Oryctolagus cuniculus: one gene and its partners. The protein of the gene in region 1 purifies or fractionates together with the protein of each later gene. This does not show direct contact. Links are inferred from orthologs where the notes say so. Each region holds a gene or a part of one and is shown in the gene's direction. Other genes may lie near its edges. The genes, in order: ARHGEF7, GIT2, NCK2 and PAK2.

Region 1 (8,896 bases):
ACGTCTGTCTTTCAGGTGATAATGATCCCTTCTGCCCCTTTTCTTACTCCCAGAGTCTGTGAAAGTCCCAGCTGGCCCACGACAGGCCGTTAAGCTGCAGTGTCCTGTCCTCTCTTGCCTGGCCAGGGCCTCGCTGCTGTGTAGCCATGCACTTGGCCATGAGCGTGCTCAGCTGTCTCCAGTCCCCGTCTGTCTCTCTCTGCGTGACGGGTTCCCTCCTGCTGCCTCATCGCCTTTCCACAAAGAGCCACTGTTCCTTGTGCACCTTCAAGTCTTCCACGTGTTAATGCGTGGATTAAGACAGAATTTTTCAGGTCGGCACTGTGGCTCACTGGGTTAAAGCTGTAGTCTGCAGTGCCAGCATCCCATAAGGGTGCCAGTTCAAGTCCCGGCTGCTCCACTTCAGATCCAGCTCCCTGCTAATGCACCTCTAGTCCTTGGGCCCCTGCACCCACATGGGAGACCCAGAGGAAGCTCCTGGCCCCAGGCTCCTGGCTTTGGCCTGGCCCAGCCCTGTTTGTTGCTGCCATTTGGGGGGTGAACCCCAAGTGGCTGGAAGATCTCTCCCTCTCTCCTCTAACTCTGCCTGTCAGATAATAATAATAATCATAATAAAGATAGAATTTTCCCCTAGGTGGTCATGTCCAGCTTCTCTAGTGTGGCTCCGAGGCTGTCACTTGCCATCAGTGCGGCTTCTTGGCCAGAGAGCACCAGGCGTGACTTGAGTGGCAGGAGGGGCATCCCTCGGAGTTGCTGAGGTGAAGTGCGAGGAGATGGGACGGTCACCAGAGCCCTCTGGGCTTCCCGTGTGCCGCCAGGGACTGCAGGGAGAGGTGCTTCTTGGTAAGGCACAGGCAGATCTGAGGGCTGTCCCAGTAGCCAGCAGGCTGCATGTGGCCACAGGGGGCAGGGCTCTGAGCGCCCTGGCCTGCCCATGACCGCCAGGGAGCCCCGTGACTGTCCGCTTTGGCTCCATCAGCACTTTCCCTCTGGAAACCACGGGTCCTCTCCAACAGCCTCTCAGCGGTGGGCAACAGGCAGCGATGTCGCCGCCGCGTGCCGTGTGTGCTGCTTTGCCCAGGGAGGAGGTGGGGCCGGCAGTTTGGATCAGCACAGGAGTGGGAGCTGAGAGCCACGAGGGCTGTGGCTCGGGCTAGAGATGCCACGCCACCACTCACGACACAGGCGTGCGGATGAGCTCAGGGGACAGGATCGTTGCGTGTGGCAGGTGCACGTTTTTGAGGAAAATCCTGGACCACAAGACTCAGTGTGGGTTGTCACGAATTTGTACCAAGCCACGAGAAGTGGCATTCAGTGAGGAACGGTCAGGAGGCCAGCAGTGGCTCCTCCTGGCCACACCTGCTTCCTGGTGTCCCTGTCGCCGCAGACCGACCCTGAGCGGTGGCCAGCACCTCTGTTTTCCAGAAGGTTCTCCCTTGACAACTGCCAGACACCTTGCCGACATTCTCATCTGATGTCACTGGGAGAACAAATGTGACCCGGGGAGAAGTTTATTTTCTTTCTTTCTTTCTTTTTTCTTTTTTTACAGGCAGAGTGGACAGTGAGAGAGAGAGACAGAGAGAAAGGTTTCCTTTGCCGTTGGTTCACCCTCCAATGGCTGCTGTGGCCGGTGTGCTGCGGCAGGCGCACCGCGCTGATCCGATGGCAGGAGCCAGGTACTTCTCCTGGCCTCCCATAGGGTGCAGGGCCCAAGCACTTGGGCCATCCTCCACTGCCTTCCCGGGCCACAGCAGAGAGCTGGCCTGGAAGAGGGGCAACCGGGACAGAATCTGGCGCCCCGACCGGGACTAGAACCTGGTGTGCTGGCGCCACAAGGCAGAGGATTAGCCTAGTGAGCCGCGGTGCCGGCCAGAAGTTTATTTTCAGATACATCGGGTGAATGTTTTATCTGTAAACATTTCTAATACAGCCATTTTTGGCATTGGCATGAGTTTGGGACGCTTGCCACCAGCTCCGAGGGACATGACGTGCTTCTGGGGTTTGTGGGAACCGAGCCTCAGGGGACGCATGAGTTAATTTGAGAACCGCAGTCTCGCTGGCACTCCCCTGGTGTTTCTGGATTTAGCCTGGGAACTAGAGGTTTGGGACATCTGTGCTTGTTTTTACTCTTTAAATATGTCCAGCGTCATACTCGCGGGTAACTCGGGGTCTCTCCCTGGTGACCGCAGCATCCCACGAGGGAGTGCTCTGGGGTACGTTGGAGGAAAGCAAAAGCGAAACATCCTTTATTTAAATTGTTTTTTCAACAGATTACTTGGGTACTTGGCCACCTGTTACCGTGTGCATTAGCAACCAAACCTTGGCATTTCTGCTTGCGGCATTTGTCGTCCAGTGGGTCAGTCTGGAGGTTCTGATTGATCCGTCCTCAGTGTAGGTGAGCCCTGCTCCCTCGTGTTTCTGCCCCAGTTAGCATCACTTACCAGAGTGAGCAGAGAGTATAGCAGAGTGAACAAGAGACGGCTGCCGTGTGAATAGAATAAACCAGTGGTTTCCACGCAACTGAAAATCAGGCGAGGGCGCGGGGCCCTCGGCGCAGAGGTGCAATGCTGCTGGACACCCGCGTCCCACGCTGGGTGGGTTTGCGTCCCGGGTCTGGCTCCTTATTCCAGCTTCCTGCATCCGGGAGGCCGCGCTGGATCCCAGTCCTCCGAGCACCCCAGCGTGCGTGTGGCTGGACCTCGGAGATGGTCACGGGGAGGTCCACTGCTCCCGGAGGCTGTCCTGTGACCGCTGGCTTTTTCCCATGTGCGTCTCTAACACTGCATGGTGCAGGCGCCTAACGGTTCCCTTGCGGCCTCCCTTCCTGCCCTGCACTCCAGGCCCTGTCTGGCCTCCCTGGACGCAGCACGGACTTGGAGAGATACTGCCTGCATTTCCAAATGTTCCCGAAACTTAATTTTCTTCTAGAGAAGCAGGGTCGGCATTATCTGTGCTGTCCCCCGCCGCGCCCTCCCCGGAGATGGTAGGAAGCCGTGTCTCGGCGGCGGCGGTGTGCCGGTGGTTTGCTCTGTGGTGCTGGGATTCATCGGTCTCGTCTCTTGTTCCCATCACTCGCCTTTGCCGTGCTCTGTGTTGAGCTGCCGGCTCTCGGGGTGAGGGTTCCAGTGGAAAGCACACGGCTCCCCAAACAGCGGTGGTGGAGGGGGCTTGAGGAAAGCATGGCTGAGAAAGCCAGAGCGGGGCAGCGTGGGGGAAGGACGCCCTCTGCAGGACGTGGGAGCAGCTGGAGCCGCCGTGGCTCCTCCTGGGCTGGAGGAACAGTGGCGGCTTCCGTGGACCCGGCACCACCAGCGCTCTGTGGTAGTTTGCTGATTTGCCTGTAGATGTTTCCACCATGGCTGAATTCAGACTACCAACATGATAAAGCCCGGTGCAGGGCTGGGGCAAGACACGCACGGCACCCCTGCAGCCGCCGTGGGCTCCTTCTCCTGCATGCCTGGCCTCCTGTTGGCCGGACCCCCTGGAAACCAGGGCGGGGGGGGGGAGCCTGGCCCGTGCGGTCCCGAGGTCAGGGCCGGGGGAGCCTGGCCCGTGCGGTCCCGAGGTCAGCCGGCTGGTCCGGGGCTGTTCCACGTCTCTGCTCTCCCGACTTCCCCACCTGTAATGGAGCAGACTTACCTCAATTGTTTTCTGCAAGAACACTAAGGTTCTTTCACTCACCCTGTGGTAGGTGAGATCAGGGAGCCCAGTGGTTCGGGCCGTTTGGTGCACACTTGCTGACCTCCTGTGTCCAGTGAGGCACCTGTGGTTGCAGGTAGGGAGCCTGTGTCCAGTGGACAGGTGAGGTGTGCCCGCGGTGGGCGTGCAGGCAGAGCCACAGGGTTCAGAGGAACGGGCTGTTGCTGGCAGCCCAGGGGGAGGCGACATTGCTCGCTCAGAGTTCAGCCTGCATGTCCTGCTAGTTCTCTAAGGATGGTCCCGGTACCATCAGAGCCTCCCAGGAACTTTCGAGAAAGCCAGTGCCGTGGTTTCCACCTTAGTCCGACAGAAGCAGGAGACTGTGATGTTTGGTTCCCAAACCTGCATGAAATTCAGTGTCAGATGAGGGATTTCAGACACAGACACACACACACACACACACACACACGATGCCTGGGCCGCACTTCCAACACACCCAGCCACATCTCTGGGGGCCCTGGGGCTGGCACTCATGGTAAGATGCTAGGATGCCTGCGTCTCACGTTGCTGGACCTGGATTCTCCCCCAGCTCTGGCTACTGATGCCGCTTCCTGCTAACGCAGATCACGGAGGGCAGCAGTTATGGTGCAAGTAGCTACGTTCTTGCCACCGGCATGGGAGCCCTCGATGAAGAGCCCAGCTCCTGGCTTTGGCCCCCTGCTCCCTGGCCGTTGTGGGCATGTGGGGAGTGAACCAGGGGTTGGGGGCTGTCTCTGTAGTGAAGAATTTCTGGGGACGAGGCTCCATGAGGAGGTAAGATGTGGTGAGCTTTGTCCATTTTCTGGTCTTAATTCTAATTTCTAAGGCAACACCGTGTCTGTGTGCTTCCCTGGCTTGTAACGCCTATTCCCCCTCTTGCACTAACGCTAACACCTTGCACGCACTTTCGAACCCTGGCCGAGGAATGGCACTTTGCTTAGACTGCGGCCACGTTGGTGGCTCCTGGTCCGGAGGCCGTGGTGCGTTGAGGAGGAGGAAGGGAGGCAGCTAAAGTCTGTCTTAACGTTGCTTTGTGATTAAGCTGGAACGGTCTTCTGCCTTAGTTCACAGAAGAATCCGAGTAGTTTGGGGACGTTCAGGGCCTCTGCCTGACGACAGTTCTTGATGGAAATCTGGGACAGGTTTCTGGGACGTGAACTGGGGGGACTTGCTCGTCCTTTGAGGCCCGAGTTCTTTGACCTCCTCTGGAGCCTGGAGCGGGGGAGCCCTTGCTGGGTTGTGAGTACTCTGGTGACGGTGAGCGTGGTGCCCTCCTTGTCCCTGGCATGTCGCCCTGCCACGCTCGACACTGCCCCTCTCCCTGTGACCCACTCTGCTGTGTGCGCATTGTTACCTGCGGCTTGAATCTGCAGTTCCCTGAGCATTAATGTGGAACGCGTCTTCCTGAGCTCACGGTGCAGCTTCTCCGGCGAGGTGTGAACATGGACTTTGAATTGCCCAAGTGCATTTTCCCCACTGCTGTTTCATCCGTGATCAATCATCTCCGTCCTTGAAAACACCTTGGATTTGACAGTGGCACACCTCTGATTGTGCAGGTCTTCCTGCCTCTTCCCTCTCCAGGCCCAACTCAGACGTCACCTTTTGCACTGGCCAAGCCTCTGGCCCTGCCCTGTGTCTGTAGCGTGTACATGTCGCTCCACTGTATTTCCATGGTCCCACGTGTCCATCTGGGGGGGGGCGCACTTGCTATGTAGCAGGCAAGTCTTGTCCGCCTCCTGGAAGGCAGTGACCTTGTCTCAGAACATGACCTGCTACGGAGTCCAGGCCCAATAAAATTGTTAAATTAATTACCCACTTGCTCCTCCCAATGCCCGTGAGAGAGGCTGGGTGTTAGCCTTAAATTGGAGATAAGGGCACAGACCCAGGGAGGTCGATGACTTGTCAGGTGACACGTGTGACACAGCTGGGTGCTGCTCATCATAAAGACTCTCGGACATTACAGGTATCAAACGAGTGCGCCCCCGAAGCAGCCGGCTGCACGTGGCTCTGTGCGGGGACACTTCAAGGGACACGCCGTCACAGGATGGTGTTCAGGACTCACAACTTGCAAATGCAGTTCCTGAAAACTGCCCAGCCTAGATGCCTGTGTCCAGGAAGACATGGGCTGGCTTGGCTGTCCACCTGCCCACTTCCCACTTGACATAGAAAGCTGGCCTTGCACCCATTTGCTGTCTTCATGAGGTGCTCAGCTGCAAGGCGGGACCTCTAGGCCGTGCACCACGTGAAGAATTACAGGTACCCACGATGTTGAGAAACCAGCCGCCTTACTGACCTGGGCTGTGCACCTCAGGGGTTTCCACTGCTTAGCTCTTCCAGGAGACCGAATCACGTTGTTAATTGATGACTTAAATCCGTTTCTTTACGAGAAAGTGTAGAAGGCCTCCAAGAATTAGGTTGTACCATGACAAACTCCCTTTCCATGTACTAAATTTTATCAACAGTGTTTGCATAAAGTAAACCCCAAGGTAGAAATACAGTAGGCCAGCACCGCGGCTCACTAGGCTAATCCTCCGCCTGCGGTGCTGGCCCCACCTGGTTCTAGTCCCCGTCAGGGTGCCAGATTCTGTCCCGGTTGCCCCTCTTCCAGTCCAGCTCTCTGCTGTGGCCCAGGAGTGCAGTGGAGGATGGCCCAAGTGCTTGGGCCCTGCACCTGCATGGGAGACCAGGAGGAAGCACCTGGCTCTTGGTTTCGGATGGGCGCAGCGCACCGGCCATAGCAGCCATTTGGGGATGAACCAACGGAAGGAAGACCTTTCTCTCTGTCTCTCTAACTCTGCCTGTCAAAAAAAAAAAAAAAAAAAAAAAGAAAGAAAGAAATACAGTTGATGCCGGAGCCTATCTCATTCTAGCAGGAAGTGTCAGTCATTCAGGGTGACGGAGTGATTAGAAAAGCCCTTGGCCTGATGGTTACAGTGTGCATTAAAAGGCCAACGTCCTGTATCAGAATAGCTGGGTTGGATCCCGGGCTCCAGCTCCTGCCTCCAACCTCCTGTTCACGCAGACCACGGAGGCTGCACTTGACGGCCCAAGTGCCTGGACCCCTGCCACCCATGGGGGAGACCCAGAGGGAGTTCCTGGCCTTGGTTGGGCTGTTGTGGTCATCTGGGGAGTAAACCCGCAAATGGGAGCTTTGTCTCTGTCTCGGCCTCGCCAGTAAATACATTTTTAATTTTAATATCAATTTTAATTAAATATATTTAAAATTAATATATTTAAAGTTACATAAATTAATTTTGATACTAATATTTTTTATTAAAATAGATATTTCCAAATAAAGTTTTGGCCATTTGTATTTAATAATTACTTATCAAAACTGTAACGTATTTCCCCGTAGTTTGTGTAACTGCTGCAATCCAGGAGCGAAGCCCTAAGACCTAGATTCCCGGGGCTTGATCTCAAATGTGCAGTCGAGCTCCATTGCTTGTGGTGTTGTGGTCTGCAGTTACCGCAAACCTTGTTTCACAGGACAGATGGTCTGTCTCCTGACAGACTTCGGTCACAGTATTTCATCAAGCAGTCAATCCATGACCATGTTTCATGCCTATTTTTGCTTAAATACAGTTCATTATATGCACACATACATGTTACAGATCCTTGTGTGCAGTACTTCTTCATTAAACACTGTTTCCATCCCGCCGTCATGAACGCACTCTGCCGTGTCGGCACTCGTGTAGCTCCCGCACGCAGCACACGTATGCGGAACTCTCATGAACACACACAGCCCTGTCAACACGGACGGGGTGCAGTGAGGAAGTGCAAAGGCAGCCTTGAAAGCAATCGGCAAAGACTGCACTCAGTCTCACAAACGCTGCTGTGAGCTCTCGCAGCGCTGGAACTGGGGTTGTGTGCACGGCCAGCGGGACGTGTGCGGCCTCCCGACCAGAACAAAGCGGGCTGGAGGGGCCGACCGCACAGGGACCTGCAGTGAAGGACGCACGCCGGGCTCTGGCGGTTGTATCTCAAGAGTTCGGCTTCGGCAGCTCGCTGGTGGTGCCAGCCCCACTCCCTCTCAGGTCTGCTAGGAAAGCGGCCTCCGCCTCGTCCGGCTGGCTCTTCGCCAGATCTGAGTGAGGGACAATGCAGCGGAGGCCAGCGCTTGCCTGTGGGGCTGCGTTTAAGCAGGGGTCACGTCCTTCCACATCACTGAGGGTTCTTCCCAAGGCAGAATTCCACTCTGATGTTTTGGCCCCTGTGAGAGGGACAATTCTTGGAGCCTTGGGCTGACCGTCGTCACGGTCCTGACTTTCATTGCCGACTCCAGTCCGTTCTGCCGTCTGGCCCAGGTCTTTCTTGGTGGGTTCTACTGCCCTTTCTGCCAAGACGGCCCCCACATCTTCTTCCTTCAAGTCACTGGCGCCGTCTCCACGTATGCGCTGTGCGGTACACACTATGGATTCGATGCTGTTCTTCATAACCTCTGTAACACCTTCAAGGCCTCGACACTGCCCGCGTTCTGGCCACACTCTCCCAGCAGTCACTGACAGAGGCCTGCTTGGTTCTGTCCCAGGCCGTGCCAACATAACCAGCAGCACTGTGGACGCTGGCTGACCTCCAGGAGTCCCCCGTGGTGGCCCCCGCGTCGGCCTCAAGCCCTCACAAGCCGTACTGTACAGCCATGTCGTGTGCCTTGAAAGCTTTGGTTACGCCCTGATTGAGGGTGGATGAGAGATGCAGTGTAGGGAGGCGTGGAGAGAAGTAGTGAACCGGGGCGCTATCCAAAATTAATAAAACCCCGAAGGCAAGATTTCTGCCCCCGATAGCGTTCAGCTTCTGGATGAAGCAGCTGTGGAACCGACCCCAGAGTACTTCGGACCCCACCCATGCTTCCGTGTTCCACCTCCAGGGGACTGGCACACGGTTCGTCTTTCCCTGTAAGGGCTGGGGGGGTTTGGGCTGTGTACGCCAGGGGGGGTTTACCCTTAGTCACCCTTGGCATTGGCGCTGGGCTTGGTCTTGGAGCCATTTGCATTACATAGGTTTGTTTGCCAACATTTTTGTAAAACAAGCTGGTCTCAGCAGCATTGAAAACCTGCTCTCCAACACAGCCCTCTTCATGTGTAACACCAGCAGGTACTTTTAAGATTCTGCGGCCTCTTGGTCTGCAGCACCATCCTTGTCTGCAAGCTCAGAATTGCTCATGCTGTGCCACATCTGACACGCGTGCCAGCCCCGACTAGCCGAGAGGGGCTTCGCGTGT
Region 2 (8,176 bases), on another chromosome or scaffold:
GGGTCATGGGGGTCGGCAGATGTCTTGCTAAGGGCTAAGTAGAAAACATCTTCGATCTGGTGAGCCATGCCGCCCGTTTCACAAATGCTTGTCTCATTGTAGAGGAAAGCATCTGAGGGCACGCTGTGGACGAACAGGCTGTTGCAATAAAATTTTATTTCTTGACACTAAAATTTGAATTTCATACAATTTTCACATCTTCTGCTACTCTTCCTTTTTTTTTTTTTTTTTCCTCCCAGCCATTTAAAAATGTAAACATCGATTTTAGCTCATGAGCCAACCAAAAAAGGCCATCATTTGCTGACCCCTGGTCTACGTGATCGGGGCCCCCTTCGTGTGGCCAGTTAGGTTTGCACAGATGCTGTCAGGGCGTAGGAAATGACAGCTGCGGGTGCAGATGCGGTCTTCCCGTTCCCGTGGCTCACGTCTTCCTTTTCATATTTTCTTCTGTTATTGTGCTTTTTTTTTTTTTAAATACTTCAAACATTGTGGCTTCTCACATGAAAACCTGGAGTTTAACCTGGCAATAGCTTTTACTGTGTAGGTGGTGGATGGTGTTTTTTCCTCGTCACCGTTTTCACATGCCTGTGGTGTTGCTAGGAGGGGTCACTTTCACCAAAGGGGGCCACCGAGTGCTCAGTTCCAGCAGTGTCTGTGGACTGAAATTCGTGTTTTTATCCCTCGGGTATCTACAAACGTGTGTTATTGATTTGCTTATTAGTGTTGTACATTTTCTTAGCAGCCTGGATTTGTCTGAACTGGCAAAAGCTGCTAAGAAGAAACTTCAGTCCGTGAGTATCCCTGTTTACTAGTGGGACCAGTGCAGGCATCAGCGTGTCCTGCTGGGTCCCGGTCTCAGTCCCAGTTACCTGTTGTGTCAGATGACGTTGTCTCGTGCTGTCAGATGTTGTCAAGTGAGAAGCAGGCCATTGTTACGAGCCAGTGAAGACGGCAAGCACTGTTGAGTTTAGACTCTCGAGTTCTTTGGCTCTGCTTCCGGAGACCCCATTTTTCTGTCAGTGTCACGGGTGAAGACTGTGTCTTTGGCGTTGTTTCTCCTCTTGAAAGCCTTGTTTTCTGTCAGTGTAAATGAGCAAGTGGGGCGCACCTCCTTGGGATGACTTCCTAGAGCCTCCTAGAGCGCTAGGGAGTGAGGAAAGCTGGTCCAGGCGTGGCGATGAGAGCCATAGACGCGCTCGTGCCGCTGGGCACCAGCCGTGGTTGGAACTGACTTGCCCTTCCCCATGCCATTCATCAGAACTTTCCAGATGGACACTTGGAGAAGCCAGTAGCCCTGGCCCGTGTGTTTAATCAGAGTTGGCCCAGCTCAGCAGGTTGCAGCCTCCCTGTGGACTGTGTGTTTCTCTCCAGCCTGCCCTCCTCTGCCTTAGTTAGGACCCTGGCAAACTCCTCTGGGAACAGCAGCACTTTGTGCACCCCAGGGTGCTTCCTGGCCACACTGTGCTCCTCAGCTGCCTGCTGTCTGGGTCAGAGCCGAGATCTGTAACCCTTCATATCTGGGGGCGCCAGTGCCACTTCCCACCTCAGCTTGCGCTGCTTCCCTTCATGCATGCATGTCTCCGTGTTTCTTTGTGGGCGACACTCTCTGAGGCCAGGAGCTGCCACGCTCAAGGCCTCTTCCACGAGCCCTTTTTGCCTGCAGTGTTTGCTTTGCCCAGCTTCCACCCTTCACCATTCAAGGAGCAAAAATCTGCCCCCGACGGTGTAGGCGGTAGCTTTCCCGAGGCTCTCGATTTAGGACGACTCCTTCCCCTCCTCGCAGAAGGCCCTCTACCAGCACTTCATAGGGTAATAAGTACTAAAGGTCACGTAAATGAGTTTATCCTTGCTAGCGTTTAACTGTATCATGAAATAAATGTGTTTTATGCAATTTGGTGTCTCTGTGTTCTATATCTACAGTTTTGTGTGTCTGTGTTTTGTTGCCTTTCTTAAATTAAGGAGGTCATGTATTAAGACACCTTCGGTGTCAGCACAGAATATTGTATGGTTTCCTTTTACTTATAACATGTAAGCGAGCTTTTGTTACAAGGAGCTGAAGCCTAGAGAGAGCCCAGTTTCCCTCTGACCGTGCTGCATGTGCTAGGCTGGAAACGGCGTGAAAGCTGTGGTTATGTCTGTAATCTCGGTAGCATGTGGTGGGCGTTCAGTAAACATCTGGAGCAGAGTTAAGGACAACTCTCCGAAACTCGGGCTCTGGGTCAGGCAGGTCAGGTACGTCTCATGCCTGCCAGGCTCCTCAGCCTTCCTGGGCTTGCTGTTGTCTCTTAGCAAAGGGAGCTGACGATACAGCAGAGCTGTGACGGGAAGGGCAAGCAGCTGTTCCCTGTGGGCCCCTGCTCTGGGGCCTCCATGTCTGGAGAGCCTGGTCGGTGTGCGTCCTCCAGTACCTTCTTCCTTTCCTCCTCTCCCTCCTGTTCTTCCCTATTGAAAAGCTGAGAGAAATATAACAAAGATGAGTACATTTATATTTCTTGAATGAGAAAATACTAGCGTTTTATGAGATTCAACCTGGATCTCTGGTCCCTCATGTATTTACTGTAGCTTTAGGCAAGCTGGTAACTTGCAAGCCTCAGCACCTTTTCTGTAAAACAGAACGGCAGTGGCTGCTGTGTTTGTGGGAGTGTCGGAAGCACCACATGCGACGCTGTTTGCACAGCTCCCGGGATGCGAGCCTCCCATCGGCGTCGCCTGCTGGGGCTGTAACAGGGATGTTCGTGTGGCGTCACCTAGAGGAAGAAGCTGGTTGTGAGCAAGTTCAAGTTCCCAGTCCCTCGTCTAACCCAGCTCTGGGTTCTCAGTGTTCATTTTTATTTATAAATGTCATGTGACAACACACTACCTTGGATTCAGGCTCAGTATTTTGGTATATTTCTTTCAGTTTTTATTTCAAATGCATGCAATTTTTTTTCAAATGGAACTCAATCATTACAGAATTTTATATCCTGCTTTTTTCTCCTAACAACGTATTGTGCCTATTTTGCCATGTTCCTCTGGAGTCTTGGTAGCCAGCATCATAAATCGTCACATAGCACACTTGCAGTCAGTCTGGGAGATGTTTCCCGAGCCCAATACTGCTTGTGGGGTCAGGAACACAGTAGGGAATTTAACACATTCAACATCTGTCCTCTAAGAATAGGGGGTCCCCGAGTGCTAAGTTTCGGGGTGAGTCATGAGGCACAGAGACCTGGAGCCGCTCTGGCGAACTTAACCTTGTCTTGGTGGGAAAGGCCTGTTGTTGTGTGGCCCATCCCCGGCTGCTGCCAATGAGGGTGCTGGCACCACACAGCCCACTGACGAGGAGGGCAGCTCAGTGCAGGGGCGGGGAGGGCCCCCACCATGGCAGGTGGCGAAGGAACGTGAGCACGGTCTGTGTGCATTTTTGTGTGTTGGCACATTGTGTTCTCTCAAGATGGCATGTTTTCACTGCCTTAACCTGCCAAGAACTTAGGATTTTGACAAACTGGCAAATGCTGTGAGGAGCAGAAGAGATCACAGGGCGATAGCTCGGGAGGAGTGAAGACTTGGAACCTGCTTTTTGAGATTAAGCACTTTGGGGATACTCTGGGCTCCTTACAGCATCCCTGTCTGTCTGTCACCGAGCAGCGAGGCTGCTGCGGTGGGCAGATGCTTGTAGACCACCGTATGATTTTGAAACTTACTGTCTGTCTAACACTGGGTATTTGCTAAGCACTGGCTTCGGGTGATAACAGGGTGAATTAAGTCCCAGTCCCCTCTCGTCCTCCTGGTGTTAATCGTTGTCCCTTGTGTTCCTGATATTTTTTACTTTCAGCTAAGTAATCATTTGTTTGAAGAACTTGCCATGGATGTGTACGATGAAGTTGACAGGCGAGAGACTGATGCAGGTGACTTGACATGTGGCTTTATCTGCTAAGCTTCTGTTATCAGTGGGCAGTGACAAGCTGCCAGCCTCAGTGTTGTACTTGCCCGATTCCTACCGTCCTGATATCGTGTGTGTCGACATTGACTTTTGAGTGTGTTGGCCTCAGAGTGTGCTTTCCCAAGTCTCCCTAGTAACGCGTGAGCCGTGCCTCCCAGAGGAGCAGGTGTGATGAGATTCTGTCTCTGGCTTTTTCCTCTGGCTAGTCTGGCTTGCCACACAAAACCACAGCACCTTGGTAACCGAGACAACCGTCGTCCCCTTTCTTCCGGTCAATCCCGAGTACTCGTCAACACGAAACCAGGCAAGTGGTTCAGTTTAAAAAGTAATTAGTAGTTGTATTGGTGGGGGGATGGCTGTTTCCCAGGACAAGTTATTTAAATTTTTTGATTGACTAAAATTTCGTACTTTTTATAGACAGACAACTCACAAAATGATAACCAAAGCAATAGATGTAAGTAGATGACTGGAAAAGAATATGTAATAACTCAGAGATGAAGTGTGAATGGCTTACAAATACGCAAGAACATTCACTCTTAGCAGTAATCAAAGAAGGCAACATAAAGGTGTTTGCCAAAGTTTCCTCAGTCAAAATAATAAAATATAGAGGATACTCCAGGCTTGAACGAACATGGCAGGATGAGCTATCTCATGCTACAGATTTTATGTTGCTGTAGACTTCAGAGAAGCAATTTTTTTAAAATTAGTTTCAGAATCCTCAAAATCCAGTGCATCCCTTTGGGAATGTCCTGATAGCAGCAGGTCTGCAGGCTGGCTTTCCGAGCGCCGTGTGTGCTAATGAAGTGTTAGCAACAGCCCCGGCGTGCTTCTCAAGGAGCAACGCTGAGTCACTGAGGAAGGTGCTGGAGGTTGTGATTATAGGCCACAGGTGAGGACAGAGTCCCTGCGTCCAAACCGTTCACCTTATTCTGAAATTGAAAGATCTTACTCCACATTAATTTTTTACTACTAGATGTACTTCAAAAAAATAAAAGAATTAATCATTTTATGTTTGGTCACAAGAATACAATACATTCTCACATTTTGAGAATTTAAATGTTAGGAACTTCTCCCATATAAAGGATTATTTTTTTTGAACTGTTAATATTTGAGTCAGTCATGGCTGTGATGGATCACAGCTTTGTTGGGCAGGAAGGGCTTTGCAGGAGTTGTCGATAATCTGACCAGCTTTGTGGTCAGATTATGTGTACTTACACTGGGGAACATGGGCAATTATTTTCTCATCCTTAGGGCAGACAGAAATTAGCTCGGTTTAATGCACACGAGTTTGCCACGCTGGTCATCGACATTCTCAGCGACGCCAAGAGGAGGCAGCAAGGCAGTCCTCTCTCTAGTGCCAAAGGTAACTGCTCAGACCTCTAAGGGTTTTGTGCTTTTGTCCTTCTAAACTCAATCCAAGTGTCAGTTTTAAAGTTGCACGTTACTGAACGCAGTCCTTCACATGGCAGCTTCGTGCAGTCCTGTAAGTTTGGTTGGAAGTATATTAAGTGACTTGGCCTTTCTTATAAATTATATCCTGAAATTAACCCGGGAGTTGGACTGGCTCTTGTTAAAGAACATAGAAAAAATTCTTGATTAGAATGGCATCTTACCTGCTGTTGCTTCCTAAAGTCACTTACATCGATTAAAATTTGCTGGGGCCTCACACTGGCTGCGAGGGGCCCTTTCATTTGTTGGCTTAGTGCCGTGTTCGTGTTTTTGTGTTTTTTGCTGGTGATTTTGGTTCAAAAATAGCCCCAAGCATAGTGCTGAAATACTGCTGGTGTTCCAAAGACTGAGAAGGCTCTGAGTGCCTCAAAGAAAACCGCGTGTCCAGTAGCGTCATTTAGGTGTGCTGTCTGTTGCAGTTGTGAGCTCGGTGCCGAGTCAGTGGTATGTATTAGATAAGGGTCTTTAAGCAGAAGCACACACGTCTCACAGTTGAGTATTGATTGGTTAAGGAAGGGTCATGACCAGAGGCTCTCGGGAAGCTAGCCCTGTATTTTCCCTCGGAGGGTACACATTGCTAATTCAGACTTTGCAGCCATTTTTTAGAGCAGGACTGCCAAGAATAAGAGATTGACTGAGTGTGTATAAATATACTTAGAAAAAAGACTTCAACACACAGCAGTGACTGTGAGTGATCGCTCTGTATTTCCTATATCGAATCTTAGTACTCTATCATCAGATTATATGTATTTGTTTTTAAATGTTAATTTAAAAATTAAAATAAGACCTAGTCCTTTTAAGTAACTGTAGTTCATCACAAAGATACGATTCACTGAGCTATCAGGTAAGTACTATTAGAAATCAGAGGTTTCCTTCAGTTGCCTGACAGGAATTGGAGAGATGTGGGTGGTTGGTAGAATCTTATGTAGGCAATGTCCAGCGTCCCATAACACAGCACCGGTTCGAGTCCTGGCTTCTCTGCTTCTAAACCAGCTCCCTGCTGGTGTGCCTTGGGAAAGCAGTGGGAGACGGCCCAAATAACTTGCGCCCCTGCCACCTACGTGGGAAAGCAGGATGGAGCTCCTGGCTCCCAGCCTGGTCTGGCCCAGCCCCAGCTGTTGCAGCCATTTAGGAAGGGAACCAGTAGATGGATGATCTCCTGTTCTCTGTTTCTTTCCCTGTGCCTGTTACAGGCATCTGGGGAGTGAACCATTGAATGAGAGATCTTGATCTCTCTCTTGCTGTCTCTTTCTGTCTGCCTTTCAAATAAATAATTTTTAAAATAGTGTGTTAGGGCCTGCAGAATGATGAGTCCTGCCCACCATGGAGGATATTCTGAATAAAATGCAAGTGTGCATGCACTGGATTCATTTTCCTCCCTTCTGTCTCACTGGGATTCAGGTGACTGAGGCCAGGGTTCCTGTCTCTAAACCTCAACAGTTCGCTTTCTGTTTTGACTTGTGACAACTTCACCTTCAAGTCTGAAGCCACACTCTATCAGTAGCAACTTAGGGACCTTTCCCGCTAGTCCGAGCCTCTCTTCGCTGAGCCAGCTCCTTGGTTTGCTCACATTTGGCAGGCGGGTGAAGGGCTGCTTCAGTTGCTCTGCACAGCTGTCCGTCTGCGGGATGACTTCTCTGTCTCCCGCTCGGTCGGGTGTGGCTGTGATGCTGCTATTCTTGTCGTTTTTCTTTCTGTCCTTTAAGTGGCTAACTCTCCATTTTTATCCTCTCAGTAGTTTGTTTTGGAAGGAAAGCAATGTTTTAAGCCTGAAGTAAAGTTCTTTGCTTCTGTTGGTAGACAATGTGGAGCTCATACTGAAAACCATCAGTAACCAGCACAGCACCGAGAGTCAGGACAATGACCAGCCAGACTATGACAGTGTGGCTTCAGACGAAGACACGGATGTGGACACAGCGGCAAGCAGAGCAAACCGGCAGAAGGTGAGCGGGCACGCCTCGCGCAGAGGGGCTCTGCTTCTTGTAGAAACCTTCCTTCTGCAAAACGGCCCTGTGTGTCAGTCACCAAGGCTGTGGGACTCAAGTTGGGTTCACTGTAGCTTGGGCCAAGCAGAGGTGAAGCAAGCTAAATGGTTTGCAAATAGGGGTCCTTCGTCCCTGACCAGCTGCTGAAATCACAGCCCTGCCACCTTGGTGACTTTGTAAGGCCTGTGAGGAATGACCGGTGTGTTTTAGTCACTCAACAAATGTTGATTAAGTGACTTCTCTGGATAATAACTCCACTGAGGGAGGCCTAGTCCCTGACCCCTAAGCATGTCCCTGTCTACAGGAGAGATGGGTGAGGCAAAAGATACAAAGTGATATGCATGGTATGACTCACAGAGGGGCAGAGGGCGAGAGAGGAGGGGGAGCCAGTGCTGGCCGGGCTGGCTCTAAGACACGCCCTCAGGACCCAGGGGCTTAGGGCCTCTGGAGGAGGCAGAGCAGGGTGGGTGGGGCAGAGAAAGGGCGAAGCCAGGGCACCTGGAGAGACAGCTTGCCCTGCAGAGGGACAGCCTGGAGAGCTGGGACTCGGGTACGTCAGCAGGCATGTGACAGGAGCCTGGCCTCACACGCAGTCCATAGCCCAGAAGGCTTCAGACAGGGCAAGAGGGCAAAGGTCAGAAAGTAAAAGGAGGGAACCCAGGGAAGACACTCCCCAAGAAGTCCCGATAAATTGGTGTAAGCCACCTCAGGCCCTAGGTGAGGAGGGCCCAGGTGAGACAGAGACCATGGCATCAGAGTGAGCCAGGGAAGGGGGCTGGAGCCCCAGGCAGCCCACCCACTCCTGCATCCCCTCGGCAGGCCC
Region 3 (6,856 bases), on another chromosome or scaffold:
ACTTGGAGAGCCTGGGGTCTCATGTGTTTTCAGGCTTCCTATGGTGTCTCGCGGTATAGATCAGACATCTGTAACCCGAAGTCCAGAATACTCCAGAATCTGAAACTCTGTCACACATGGAAAATCCCACACCATGAAACTTTGATTCGGGCACAAACTTGTCTAAAATATCGCAGGCTATGAGTGCAAAGTGTATGTGAAGCACAGGTGAGTTTTGTGTGTAGATGCGCGTCCCCTCCCTGAGATATCTCATTATGGGAGTGCAAATATTTCCGAATCCGAACCCCAAAACAAGCTTCTGATCACAAGCATTTTGGATAAGGCGTGCTCAGCTTGAAACGTGTGGCGGTGTGTCTGCTTAGGACGTGGGTTGTTCGATTTCGGTTTCTTGTGGAAGATCTGCCTGATTGGAATTAAGAACAGCCCCAAACCGTCAGCCCTCCTGCTTGGCACAAGCTGTTTCTGCCTGGTAGCCCATGAAATTAGAAAGTACCTTTTGTGCTGCATCAGTGTTACTCCTGTAACACACACACACACACACACACACACACACCCCATGATGTTCAATTAAGGAGCTGCAGGGGAAAGCAAATTCACCTATTCCAAGGTCATCTGTTGATCACTCGGCTTGATGAAAATTGGGTGCCTCAAGCCTTCACAGCAGCTCCAGTGCAAAAAATGTTTAAATCCATGCCTGTACTGGAGTCTGCAAAGAGTTCACAGAACATGAGTGTAATGAGAAAACAGTATGTGGATTTCAGGAACTCTGCGCCAATGTAAAACGCCGTTTTCCATGCATTTTTTAAAGTGCCCTCTGATTGGCGGCCGTGGGTCCCGTGCGTGCTGTGCAGGGGGCCAGGGCTGAGTGAGTGTCGCGGTCCTCCAATACTGCTGACGTCTGGAGCTTGCCCGTGTGCACCAGACCTGTCGGGCAGTGCCTGGTTCCGCTTGTTGGGCCTTCAGAACCACACACAGCCGCCCACCTGGACGGAGACAGCGGGGCGAGCTTGCGTCGTCTTGTTCAGCCCTGTGAGCACAGTCGCACTTCGAGGGTGCGCAGGCCACACGGTGACTCAGGAGGAGGCCGCCTGGTGCCGTGTGGATGTGCATGTTGGTGGAGCAGCTTGGCCTGAGTGTGCCATCCAGGTCTGACCCTCTAGGGGCTGTGAAAATAGTAGCTGGCCTGCATCCTCTTTGGGGATGGACCTTCGGGGCTCTTCCTGGAGTCTCATTCACCAGCATTTCCTGGGGGCTCCCCCAAGGCATTCGGGTAGCATGGAGATAAAGAGGGGCTTTTCCCTCCAAGGCTTATTCTTGCTTTGTTGGTCCTGGGCAGAGGGACAGCGCACAGGCTAACTGTAAACTCCATTGTCCCTGTCTGCCTGCTGTGCTAACAGCTGTGGCTGGTGTGTGCACCCAGCTGCCCTGTGCAGTGTGGATCTTCTCGGACACCCATATTAACAGCTGTGGCTAGTGTGTGCACCCAGCTGCCCTGTGCAGTGTGGATCTTCTCGGACACCCATGCTCCTGAGTAGGCGCCCACGTGGGCTCTGTTAATCCTTGTGTCCAGGCTCTGCTCCCTTCTCCTCAGAAGAATGTTATTTGAGGGCTTTTGGAAACTTGTGGCCAGAGTCTGGCTGCGAGGGAGGTGGAGGGAGGGTAGGAGCAGAGCTTGTCCCTAGGAATTACGAGAGCAGAAAGTGGGTTGCGGACCTGGGTTTGGCTGCCCTAGGTTGTGGCGTAGACTTGGTGCCACATAGCAAGCCACGGAGGAGACAACTGACCTTGTGTGGGACTGGTCTTGGGGGGGAGCATCTGTACTTTGAGCTTAAGGGTATGATAACCACGCAGAAGACAGATGGCCCCAAGAACAACATGGCCAGGACTAGAATGGGCACTGTGTGGGGGAGGTTATGCTTTAGGCTCATTGATTGGGACAATAGGCAGGGGCCAGGTGACGCAGCTGCGGGGGGAGCTCCGAGGGGCTGAGGTCACCCAGGGAGGCCAGGACCCCTCCCCCTTCCCTTCACTGCTGAAAATGAGGCAAGGCCCTCCTCCCTTTGTACACGCCAAGCATCTTACCAGCATCTTAGCCACTAGGCCAGACACCTGCCCTAGGCGTTTATTTTTAAATGGCTTAGACTTTAAAAAAAAAAAAAAAGGTTTAATTTCTAATAGTATTAGAAGTCAGAAGAAGGGAAATTTCTAGCCTCTGCCTGCATGGAAACCACTTGTCTTAGATTCCAGTTTCTCAAAAACAGCTCGGGAAGTGAAAAGTGTTTCCTAGCATTCGGGTCCCACGTGTCAAAGAAGGAGGTGTGTTCAGCACTGAATACTCAGCCAAATGAAGTCCTTGAGCAGGGGTCGTCGGGCGGAGCGGCAGGTGCCGTGGTAGACACCTGCGCCTCTGGGAACCCTGTGGCCCGGGGGTGTGGCCCGTGGGGAGAGGGGTGGAGTACCCCAGAGCGTGCAGCCCGCGCCCTCTCGGGCCCTGGTGTAATCTGTGCCGTTTGCTCCCGCAGCCCAGCGACTTCTCCGTGTCTCTCAAAGCGTCAGGGAAGAACAAACACTTCAAGGTGCAGCTCGTGGACAATGTGTACTGCATTGGGCAGCGGCGATTCCACACCATGGACGAGCTGGTGGAACACTACAAAAAGGCCCCCATCTTCACCAGCGAGCACGGGGAGAAGCTCTACCTCGTCCGGGCGCTGCAGTGACCTGTGCCGTGGGCCCTCGGGTCGGGGCCGCGCCGCGCTGCGCCCACCAGCTCCGGGCGCCACCGCCGGGTGCGACCATCCCTCCTGGCTGGTCTTAGAAGGAGGCGGAAGGGCCGAGTGTCTTCACTTTATTTCTCTCCAACTAGTGGCGGCAACCCTCTGCTCACGTGGAGACCCTGGGCACGGCTGGAGGGCCACCGTGCACGCAGCCAGGGCCCCCAGGCTGCGCAGGCCACGAGGGAGCTGTCCAGTGCCTTGGGGCCGTGCTTGCAATAAAGAATTTTCCTCGAGAGGCATTCTGCAACGGAGGGACCCGGTGACTCAAGATAAGACACGCGTTTTGGTCGTTGACCCCTGAAGTGTGCCATCCACGTAGCGCTGTTTGCTCTTGCCTGCAGCTCCTTTGAACTTCACGGTGATGTATTCAGTTCTCCAAGTCCTACGTATCTGTAGCTGGTTGTTGACACTAATGCGGGATGATTCAGGAAAACAGCTGATCTGTGGGGGAAGCGGAGCTACCAACACTCCACACACAAGCATACACACACCCACGCACACACATGCACGCTGTACACATGCGTGTGCATGTCTGTGTATGTGTGTGTATATACTTAAATATTTTATTTGCTTTACAGGGAAATTTTTCAGGGTTTACAAAAGAAAATGTGATTGGTAGTCAGAGACACAAGATGTTTATGAAGAAATCGTGTTCCCTTTTTTTCTTTACATTTGAACTTCTTTATAGTTTAAATATACAGTCTTGAGATGGCACATTCCTATGATGGAAGAAGGGGTCTTGCGATCCCCTAAACTTGCATACCCAGTTTTTTTGAATATTGTAATAAAAAAAAAAGTATTATGACACGATCCTGTGTGCGTTTGTCTTTGGGGAGACGCTAACTGCTGTGGGGGAGGGGTGACCGCTGTGTTGGGTGACTTCTCCCAGCTTGAAAGGAAGAACCAGGCTCAAGGGCAGGGTCAGGAGTGCACTCCCTGTGACTTTCTTGCCACCGCGTTTTTGAATATTGAAATAACCCCTGCTAACGAGGGAAACTCCAACAAGCTTGCTCTTAACTTCGCTCTTTGAGAATTGCTGGCTTCAGAATGTTTTCTCGACGGTCGCCAGCCAGAGTCTTTGCATTCCCGGTGGCCCTCCTCGGATGTTGCGCTCTGGCTCTCTCCATCTGTCCGTGTTTAGTGGATGGCGGCCGCATGCCAGGCCGTGGGAGTGCAACTCACGGCACGCGGATCAGTGCCCTCTTAGTGGACCAGGACTGATGCACATGGCGCGTCCTCCCCACCCCGTGCTTACCACCACCGTGATCCCCATTGTAGGGACCAAGACGGTTAGGCATGACGTCATGCACAAGGGGATGCAAACCCAGAGTTTTGGAAGGAATTTCAGAGCCGGGTGGTACGTCCTGACTCTGCCATTCCTGTTGGCATTGAGTTCATTGATTCTTTGGTCGCCTTTCACTGTGGTCCATTAGAAGCTGATGGAGAATGAGGCTGGCAGCCCACTGCCCCAGTCGTAGTGAACTGTAAGAGGACGCTGCCTACGTGTCTCTCAGAGCAGCAAACTGCCCTGGGATTAGAGATGCGGCTGCAGTCTGTTTTCCGTCAATGCAGGCCGGAGGATGGGCACACCTGCCCCCAAAAGGAATGTGGCCGTGGGAGCAGCAGGGGGCTAATGGGCACTAATTGGTACCTGGGAATTTATAAATTTGCCAGAGCATTTTTTTTTTAAGATTTATTTATTTGAAAAAGAGTTACAGAGAGAAGTAGAGCCAGAGAGAGAGGTCTTCCATCCACTGGTTCACTCCCCAAATGACAGCAACCGCCAGATCTTAGCTGATCTGAAGCCAGGAGCCAGGAGCTTCTTCCAGGTCTCCCAAGTGGGTGCAGGGACCCAAGTACTTGGGCCATCTTCTGCTTTCCCAGGCCATAGCAGAGAGCTGGATCGGAAGCAGAGCAGCCGGGACTCGAGCTGGTGCCCATATGGGATACGGCACTGTGGGCAGTGGCTTTACCAGCTATGCCACAGTGCCAGCCCCTTGCCAGAGCATTTGAATGGGCCTGTGTTTGAAGATTTACACCACCATCCTGTTCTCCAACATGCCCCACCAGACCGACTCCTTTTCCCAATCATAAACTTGATGTATAACCTTGCCTGCGTGCCTGCTGGCGTGTAGAGTTGTTGGTATCCTCAGAGTAAAAGTGATGGCGGCTCTCAGAATGGATGCTCCCTTCTCTTCATTTGAAAAACCGGACAGCGTTGCAGGTGAGTGAGGTGGAGACATCTGTTGGGTGTTTCATCCAAGAGATAGCATGCCTGTGGACTCTGTCAGTTCTCACTGCTGGGTGCTGCATTTAGACCCGCAAGGATCCCGCTACACCACGAGTACCCGCACTGCTGAGAGACTGGATTTCGACACAGCGCTTCTGGGAGGAATCAAATGATTTTTTAAAGGACTGAAGACAGATGAACATTTTGGTTTCAGGAACTTCTTTTAGGCCTGGGCTCATTAGATTCAGTGCCTTGCCAAATCCTCCTGCTGCCCACGGGTAGACCAGGACTGGTGTGTGTGTGTGTGTATGTGTGTGTGTGTGTATGATTTAAGGAACTGGCACCTATGGGTAGACCAGGACTGGTGTGTGTATGTGTGTGTGTGTATGTGAGATTTAAGGAACTGGCGCCTATGGGTAGACCAGGACTGGTGCGTGTGTGTGTGTGTGTGTGTGTGTGTGTGTGTGATTTAAGGAACTGGCACCCACGGGTAGACCAGGACTGGTGTGTGTGTGTGTGTGTGTGTGTGTGTGTGTGTGTGATTTAAGGAACTGGCGCTATGGGTAGACCAGGACTGGTGTGTGTGTGTGTGTGTGATTTAAGGAACTGGCGCCTATGGGTAGACCAGGACTGGTGTGTGTGTGTGTTTTATTTAAGGAACTGGCACCCTGGGACATGGTGCTGTCAGGTGGAGGGCGGATTGATGAGATGAGCCTCTGGCTAGCAGCTTCCCCAATGCCCCAGGCAGGTGGCACGGATGCCAGTGACCCTCCTGCACATCCACAGATGGCCTGAGCGAGTCTTAGGCAGACATTGAAGGGAAGACGAAGAGCAATGAAGGTGAGTCGTTGGGTATCTGGGTAACTTGGTTCCCTTGTTTGCATTTAAACACACCTTCAGTTGACATAAATGTCATTCCATACAGGGACCCTGCTGAGTTACAGTCACAACTACCAGGTTTTACGACCAGATGCATTAAGTAATATTTCCAGAGAGCTCTATCTGTCCATTTTTTCCTCCAAGTGCCCCACAAATTTGCATCTAAATTAGAATTCCTCATAACAACTGACATTTACAAACAAAATGTTTTTGGTGCTGATACCATTTTGTCTTTAGTTTCTGTGTGCTAATCTACCTTTCTGTCATTCCTACTGCCTAATGCCAGAATGCCAAAATACTGTTAAGACCGAGGTTGAAAATGCAAAGAATAGACAAGTTGGAAAGTATTATTTCAGGGACTAACATTGTGGTGCGGCAGGTCAAGCCACTGCCTGTGATGCCAGCATTCCATAGGAGCACCAGTTGGAGGCCTTGGTGCTCCGCTTCTGATCCAGCCCCCTACCAATGCACCTGGAAAGGCGGCAGAAGATGGCCCGAGGGCTTGGGCCCCTGCCACCCACGTGGGAGACTCAGATGGAATTCCAGACTCAGTCCGGACCAGCCCCGGCTATTGTGGCCATTTGGAGAGGGAACCAGAAGAAGGAAGATCTCTTTCCTGTGACTGCCTTTCAAATAAATCTTAAAAAAAAAAAAAAAAAAGCAGTGGCCAGTGCTGTGGCACCCCTGCCTGCATTGCCATCATCTCATATGGGTGCCAGTTTGAGGCAGAGTCACAGGCAGAGAGAGAGAGAGAGGTCTTCCATCCTCTGGTTCACTCCCAGATGGTCACGATGGCTGGAGCTGCACCGATCTGAACCCAGGAGCCAAGAGCTTCTTCTGGGTCTCCCACATGGATGCAGGGGCCCAAGGACTTGGACCATCTTCTACTGCTTTCCCAGGCCACAGCAGAGAGCTGGATCGGAAGTGGAACAGCTGGAAGTCCAACCAGCACCCATATGGGATGCCAGTGCTG
Region 4 (7,107 bases), on another chromosome or scaffold:
GGGAAGAGGAGCAGCTGGGACTAGAACCGGTGCCCATATGGTATGCCGGTGCTTCAGACCAGGGCTTTAACCCACTGCGCCACAACGCTGGCCCCACAACATTGAACCTTAAAGTATTATGCTAGGTGAGAGAAGCAAGAAAGCAGATGGCATTGGATTTGAACACACTTTTTCTTAAACTTATCCTATTGCTTGGGGTCTGTGCCGTGGTTAATCCTCCACCTGCGGCGTGGGGAGGTAGTGGAGGATGGCCCAAGTGCTTGCGCTCCTGCACCCACATAGGAGACCAGGAAGAGGCTCCCAGCTCCTGGCTTTAGATCGGCACAGTTCCAGCCGTTGTGGCCATATGGGAAGAGAACCAACGGAAGGAAGACCTGTCTCTCTGACTCCCCTCTCACTGTCTCTAACTCTGCCTCTCAAATAAATAAATAAAAATCTTAAAAAAAAACTTACCCTATTGCCAGAGCTTTTAGTTGAAGTGAGCAGCCAAGTACTTTTTGTAGAGGTAATTAATTTAGAGTACTTTTCAGAACATTTTTTTAAAAGATTTATTTATTTGAGAGCCAGAGAGAGAGAAAGGTCTTCCATCTGCTGGTTCACTCCTCAAATGGCCACAGTGGCTGGAACTGGGCTGATCCAAAGGCAGGAGCCTGGAGCTTCTTCTGGGTCTCCCACATGGATGCAGAGGCCCAAGGACTTGGGCCATCTTTGCTGCTTTCCCAGGCACGTTAACAGGGAGCTGGTTTGGAAGAGGAGCAGCTGGGACTTTAACTGGTGCTCATATGGGATGCAGGCACTGCAGGTGGCAGTTTTACCCACTACACCACAGCCCTAGCCCCTCAAAACAATTTTTCAAACCCCTTTACTTTCATTCTTTAGTTAGCCAGTATTTAATGGAGTGTCTGTCTTATACCAGGCAGTATTCAAGGTGCTGCCTAAAAGAACCAACAAAAGTTTTGTCCTCATGGAACTTAAATTCTAGTTAGAGGGGAGAGACAACAAAATAAATAAGAATAATATGTGACAAGTTCAGTGATGGTCTCGCTTGAGAGGTCAGGGTGTTTGCTTTCAGAGGGGTGCTGTGGAAGGCTTCACTGAGGTGACGTGTGGACACGAGAGGTAAGAGATGGTACGTACCTGGTGGAAGAGCATTCCAAGCAAAGAAACAGCAGGTATGAGCTCTAAAGCAGCAGTGTTCCTCGTGTATCCAAGGATCATTGAAGATTTCAGCACAGCTAGATTACATCCTGAAAACAGCAGGTTGTAAGGTAGGTTAGACTGTTAAGTGCCTTATAAGGCCTTTGGAAAGATGATGGCTTTTTCTCTACGTAACTTGGGGAAACTATTGGAAAGTTTTAAGTGGAGGAATAAAATTGTCAAACGTTTTAACAGGATCTCTGCCTACTTTGTTGAGAAGAGATTATCCAAGCAAAGGGAAAAGTATGAAGACCAGTTAAAAGGCTGTTGAGATAATTCAGGCAAGCGGGGCCCGTGCTGTGGAGTAGTGGGCTATACCTCCATCTGCAGCACCAGCATCCTACATGGGCTCTGGTTCGAGTCCCAGCTGCTTCTCTTCTGATCCAGCTCCCTGCTATGGCCTGGGAAAGCAGTGGAAGATGGCCCAAATGCTTGGGGCGCTGCACCAGCGTGGGAGACCTGGAAGAAGCTTTTGGCTCCTGGCTTCAGACTGGCCCAGCTCTAGCCATTGTGGCCATTTGGGGAGTGAACCAGTGGATGGAAGACCTTCTCTCTCTCTCTCTCCCTCTCTCTCTGTAGCTCTACCTCTCAAGTAAATAAAAAAATCTTTGTTTAAAAAAAAACTCAGGCAAGAAATAAGAAATGATGGTAGCTTAGACCACAGTCATATCAGTGGAGGTGGTAAAAAGTGAGTTGAATTCTGGATGTTTTTTGAAAGGAGAGGCTACAGGGGCTGGCGCTGTGACATAGCAGGTAAAGCTGCCGCCTGCAGTCCCAGCATCCCATATGGGCGCTGGTTCAAGTCCCAGCAGCTCCACTTCCAATCCAGCTCTCTGCTATGGCCTGGGAAAGCAGTAGAAAATGGCCCAAGTCCTTGGGCCCCTGCACCCACGTGGGAGACCTGGAAGAAGCTCCTGGATCCTGGTTTCGGATCCGCGCAAGTCCGACCATTGTGGCCAATTGGGGAGTGAACAGTGGATGGAAGAACTCTGTCTCTCTCTGTCTGCCTCTCCTCTCTCTGTGTAACTCTGACTCTCAAATAAATAAATAAATACATTAAAAAAAAAAAAAAAAAAAAAAAAAAACAGAAGATTTCCATAACTGAGATGACCACAATTGCATGCAGTAAGAGTAGGGGATCTGGTTGGTAGGTGGGATATCAGTAGATAACATTTTAACGTGTCTTAGAGTCACTAAATTTTAGGTGCCTCTTAAGTCATCCAAGTGAATATGCTGAATAGATTATTGGGTATGCAAATCTGGAATCCAGGCTAGAATTTCAGGTATAAAATCATGGTGCCTTAGTGATAGTTATTATCCAAAGCTGTGAATCCAGATGAGATCACCAGGTCATGTGAGTAGCTAAAAGTTGATGATGCAGACCAACAAAGCAGACTAAGAAAGAATGGCTGGAGGCCGGCGCCGCTGCTCACTAGGCTAATCCTCCGCCTTGGGGCTCTGGCACACCGGGTTCTAGTCCCGGTCGGGCACCGGATTCTGTCCCGGTTGCCCCCCTTCCAGGCCAGCTCTCTGCTATGGCCAGGGAGTGCAGTGGAGGATGGCCCAAGTGCTTGGGCCCTGCACCCCATGGGAGACCAGGATAAGTACCTGGCTCCTGCCATCGGATCAACACGGTGCGCCAGCCGCGGCGGCCATTGGAGGGTGAACCAACGGCAAAGGAAGACCTTTCTGTCTCTCTCTCTCACTGTCCACTCTGCCTGTCAAAGAAAGAAAGAAGGAATGGCTGGAAAGGGAGGAAAAGCCAAATAAATATATGCCCTGGAACCTGTATAAAGAAAGTAAGCTTGTCAGAAACTGCAGTTACGGCCATTGAGATGAGGACTCAGGAGGGTATTGGATGCAGCAATGAAGATACTGCTTGGTACCCACATCTCTTATCAGAGTGCTTGGGCTGAGTCCCTGCTTTGCTTGTGGATCTAGCTTCCATCTAATATGCACCCTGGGAGGCAGCAGATGACGGTTCAAGTAGTTGGGTTCCTGCCACCTACCTGGGAAACCTGGATTAAGTTCCAGACTCTGTTAAACTTCGGGCTGGTGCTATGACATAAGTTAAAGTTCTTCTTGTGTCTGTATATAGTATATATAGTGGCCTTGGTAGCTACACAAACCAGGTGTTCAAAGAATGACTGCCTGGTGAGAAAGGATATCTATAGGGATGTAGAAATAATCAGGCTTCAATTCCAATTTCTACAAACCTAAAACTTCTTAAATAACAGTTAATCAAAAAGTAATAATTTCATTTCTAGAAATTTATAGGAAATAAAGAAGTACATAAAGAATACAAGAATTTTCTAAAGGCTATTGATTATAATAGAGAACATAAGATACTGTTTGATTTAACCATTAAAATAATTTTGCGGGGCCAGTGCTGTGGTGTAGTGGGTGGAGCCGCCACCTGCAGTGCTGGCATCCCATATGGGTACTGGTTCGAGTCCTGGCTGCTCCACTTCTGATCCTGCTCCCTGCTTACACACCTGGGAAGGCAGCAGAAGATGGCCCGAATACTTGGAAGAAGCTTCTGGCTCTTGGCTTCAGACTGGCTCAGTTCCTGCCGCTGCAGCCATTTGGGGAGTGAACAAACAATTGGAAGCTCTTGCTCACTCTCTCTATGTCTCCTGTCTCTGTAATTCTGACTTTCAAATAAGTAAATAAATCTTTTTAAAAAGTACATAAAATGAAAAAGGAAAAATTTCAGAACCAAATGAGTAAAAATGATAACCTCACTTTGATGTTGATGTTTGTTTTTAAAGAATTAAGAGATCCACAAACTTTGTAAAGTGATCTGTCAGTTTGTTGCACTATCATAAGTGTGTAAAAATGTTCTTCCATTTTTAGGCCTTGTACCTGATAGCAACTAATGGAACCCCAGAACTTCAGAATCCAGAGAAGCTTTCCCCCATATTTCGGGATTTCTTAAATCGATGTTTGGAAATGGATGTGGAGAAGAGAGGTTCAGCCAAAGAACTGCTGCAGGTAATTTGGAAATGATGTCATTTTTGGAAAATTTAGTTGCCTTTGTGTTTTGAGTAATCTAGAGAAGGTTTTCATAGGGTGGCAAATCATTGTATTTCACTATGTATTGATCACCTTGGTGTGGTAACTGCATTTTAGGGCTCCTTCTGGGAATAAAAATCTGTAACATCATAATGAGTTTTTGCATACTGTCAGTTTTCAGGCCTGTTCACTGCTGGCCTGGATATGTCTGTGGCCTTAACTATAGATTTATATTAGGAAAAGTAAAGTGGTTGCTTTCAGCTTTAGGTGTTGTACTGATTATGTTGGTTTCATATGGATATTGACTTGTGGGGATACTTTAACAAATAAACCATGATTCATAAGTAGTCTTTGGGGATTAGTTGAAAGGAAACATTTTGTTTCTAAGCTGATAGCATTTACCTGTTTGTTTCTCCCCTTTTCTGGCAGCATCCCTTCCTGAAACTGGCCAAACCATTATCCAGCTTGACACCACTCATCATGGCAGCTAAAGAAGCAATGAAGAGTAACCGCTAACATCAGTGCCGTGGCCTCATGTTCCTTTGTCCATTTCCTAAAAGAAGTCTTTTAATATATGAAAGTTACTGCTCTTTTCGGGGTTTAAAGAAATGGTCTGAATAATGGAGGAAAAACAAAGCTACTATTTCTTGAAGACAACTAAGACAAAATTGCAAAAAGAGAATCATGACTTTCAGATGAACCCCTTCTTTAGGGTCCAAAGGAATTGTGGACTGAGTCACTCGCCTTACATCTTTCAGCAGACAGCCGTCAGGGCTGTTCCTTATGCTTGAGATTTGCATTTTATTTTGCTAACTTTGTTGGAATAGATCCCATTCTTGTCCCCTTTGGGGTGTTTTCAATACTTGAAGGGCAGATTCGAGTTTTTCAGCATATTTGTTTCACCTGCTGGTCTTCTCTCTCCTTCAGAGCTCTCCTTTTCCTCGACTTGCTCCTTTTGAGTTGCTTTGAGAACTTTTTGTCGTGCCTGAATTCAAGGCAAGTATGATAGAAATTGTGCAGCTCCTCATTGGCAAAGGAGCTCAGCATAGTTTAACTTTGTATAGAAGTTAGGACCAGCAATGGTTTCATGGAATATTTCAGTTCAGAACTTGAACTGAAAGAAGGGAAGAAAAGTATGTGATTTTTACCTTTTTAACAAATGTGAAAGGGTCACTTTGAGAAATCTCATGGTGGTGAGTTTGGAGTTTGTTACATGTATAGAAAGAAGACTAATCTATATTTATAACTAAATCACTGAGACAAAAAAGAATCCCGGCGACTGTACACCCTGACGGTTTTGTCTTCCTTTCTGCCTTTCTCCTCTTCAGATTTGGCTTGAGGAGGAACCAAAGTGATTTTTCTTGTTCCAGCTTGGGCTTTATGACTGGTTAGTGCCATTACCTTTCCTTTCCTCCTTTCCTCTTTCATTTTGGAAATAAGTTTCTGTATATGTTGCAATTTTAGGTTTAGTTTTTTTGTTTTTGTTTTTATGTAACCCTCTCACCTTACATATCCTGTTCATACCACATCCTACTCTGTAATAATCATTGAATTTTCAGAATTTGAAAATTAACTTTTGTTTTCCACTTAAAGGGAAAAATATTTGGGGTTAGCAGAGACAAAGTGAGAGATTGAACTTTAGTGAGTTGTAGAATAATTAGTTGAGACTGTATTCATGAGAGAGAAATGTCAGTATTACAGAGTTCCAAATGATGACGAGTAAACTGTAAAGGCTGTCATAAGTTAGAGTGATTCTAACACATTACCAGTGTGTTACTGTGTAAGAGAACTTAAATGAGAAGGTTCTTGGTGGATTCACGGATCATTGGAGATGTGGAATTACTTTAGTATTTTTTTTTTTTTTCAGAGAAGTAGAGAATATTCATGTAAAAATCTGAGGAAAAGAAAAATGCGGTATTGATAGGAATCCTTTTTTATTTTAAAGATTAAGAAAAGGTCTGTGACCTGTTAATTATGAGAATGCCCCTTCCTCCCCTTCCCTTCTGTGCTTTACTCTCCTGTTCTTCTCTCCTCATTTCTCGGTTGTTTGGCTTTTGGGTGAGGAATGGTCTACTCTGACATGCCTTGAACCACATAAAAAAGTCTTCGGTTGAGTTCTGGTATTTTGTTCCCACCATGCCCTCCCAGTGAAATTCACACCTGCTTGCCATCCTGCAATAGTACAAATCATTAATGAAAATAAGTATGCTGTTTTGTAGTATATTGGAAAACCAGCAGAGTTTTATTTCCTGTTATTCCCGTCGTATCTGTGTTAAGACACAGATATCAGTGTAGAATGACTATTTTGTGTTGATACCACAGAAAGATTTTCAGAAAAATGAGTAAAATAATTAATGAAACTTTTATATAGAGCACTTAATGATCTCTGATACCAGTATGGTTCTTGATTGCATTTTTCTCTGGACTATATTGGCCTTCTACAGCTCTTACTAAATTATAGAAACAAGCTGGTTTATTTCTGGTGGAAAGCTACAGTGCCCCTTAACTTCCAGATTTGAGCACTCTTTGTAGACGATTGGATGGATGGATCATGATGAAGATGCTGCCAATGAGAGAGAGAGAAAACACCGACTAGATGATGAGACTGATCATCATGACCACTTAAGAAGGCGCTTCCCATCCTAAGTCATAAGGACTTTTTCCCTCGAATCTGTGCCAGGGCCCCAGTTTATGCTTGTGGTGCAACAAAGGGCCTTTCAGACGGTGGAAGCAGTTTGGGATTTGTATTTACAGCCTCTCGGATGGTTACCTGCACGTCCATTGCTGGCAACGGACTTTGAAATCTGACTCCTTGGTTAAGGGAGCTACACTGTGGTGTATTCTTTACTTACCTGGATAAACTAACCTGTAATAGAAGTATACTTTAGTAAATTC

The links.
Region 2: the proteins of ARHGEF7 (region 1) and GIT2 purify together in Homo sapiens (affinity purification with mass spectrometry; 6 studies listed by BioGRID and IntAct, counting the BioPlex papers as one, with this or other methods). This does not show direct contact. The link is inferred for Oryctolagus cuniculus from reciprocal best matches to the Homo sapiens genes ARHGEF7 and GIT2.
Region 3: the proteins of ARHGEF7 (region 1) and NCK2 purify together in Homo sapiens (affinity purification with mass spectrometry; 3 studies listed by BioGRID and IntAct, counting the BioPlex papers as one, with this or other methods). This does not show direct contact. The link is inferred for Oryctolagus cuniculus from reciprocal best matches to the Homo sapiens genes ARHGEF7 and NCK2.
Region 4: the proteins of ARHGEF7 (region 1) and PAK2 purify together in Homo sapiens (co-immunoprecipitation; 5 studies listed by BioGRID and IntAct, with this or other methods). This does not show direct contact. The link is inferred for Oryctolagus cuniculus from reciprocal best matches to the Homo sapiens genes ARHGEF7 and PAK2.

The regions. Positions count from the first base shown.
Region 1 is NC_091440.1:2,144,957-2,153,852, reverse strand, and holds the start of ARHGEF7 (rho guanine nucleotide exchange factor 7), read left to right. Parts: upstream 1-3,716; 5' UTR 3,717-8,896. UniProt on the Homo sapiens protein: Acts as a RAC1 guanine nucleotide exchange factor (GEF) and can induce membrane ruffling. Functions in cell migration, attachment and cell spreading. Promotes targeting of RAC1 to focal adhesions. May function as a positive regulator of apoptosis.
Region 2 is NC_091452.1:18,836,550-18,844,725, reverse strand, and holds part of GIT2 (ARF GTPase-activating protein GIT2), read left to right. Parts: intron 1-739; coding exon 740-791; intron 792-3,811; coding exon 3,812-3,884; intron 3,885-4,125; coding exon 4,126-4,223; intron 4,224-5,170; coding exon 5,171-5,282; intron 5,283-7,168; coding exon 7,169-7,311; intron 7,312-8,176. UniProt on the Homo sapiens protein: GTPase-activating protein for ADP ribosylation factor family members, including ARF1.
Region 3 is NC_091433.1:102,699,285-102,706,140, reverse strand, and holds the end of NCK2 (cytoplasmic protein NCK2), read left to right. Parts: intron 1-2,522; coding exon 2,523-2,717; 3' UTR 2,718-3,584; downstream 3,585-6,856. UniProt on the Homo sapiens protein: Adapter protein which associates with tyrosine-phosphorylated growth factor receptors or their cellular substrates. Maintains low levels of EIF2S1 phosphorylation by promoting its dephosphorylation by PP1.
Region 4 is NC_091435.1:83,345,626-83,352,732, forward strand, and holds part of PAK2 (serine/threonine-protein kinase PAK 2), read left to right. Parts: intron 1-4,053; coding exon 4,054-4,191; intron 4,192-4,641; coding exon 4,642-4,728; 3' UTR 4,729-7,107. UniProt on the Homo sapiens protein: Serine/threonine protein kinase that plays a role in a variety of different signaling pathways including cytoskeleton regulation, cell motility, cell cycle progression, apoptosis or proliferation.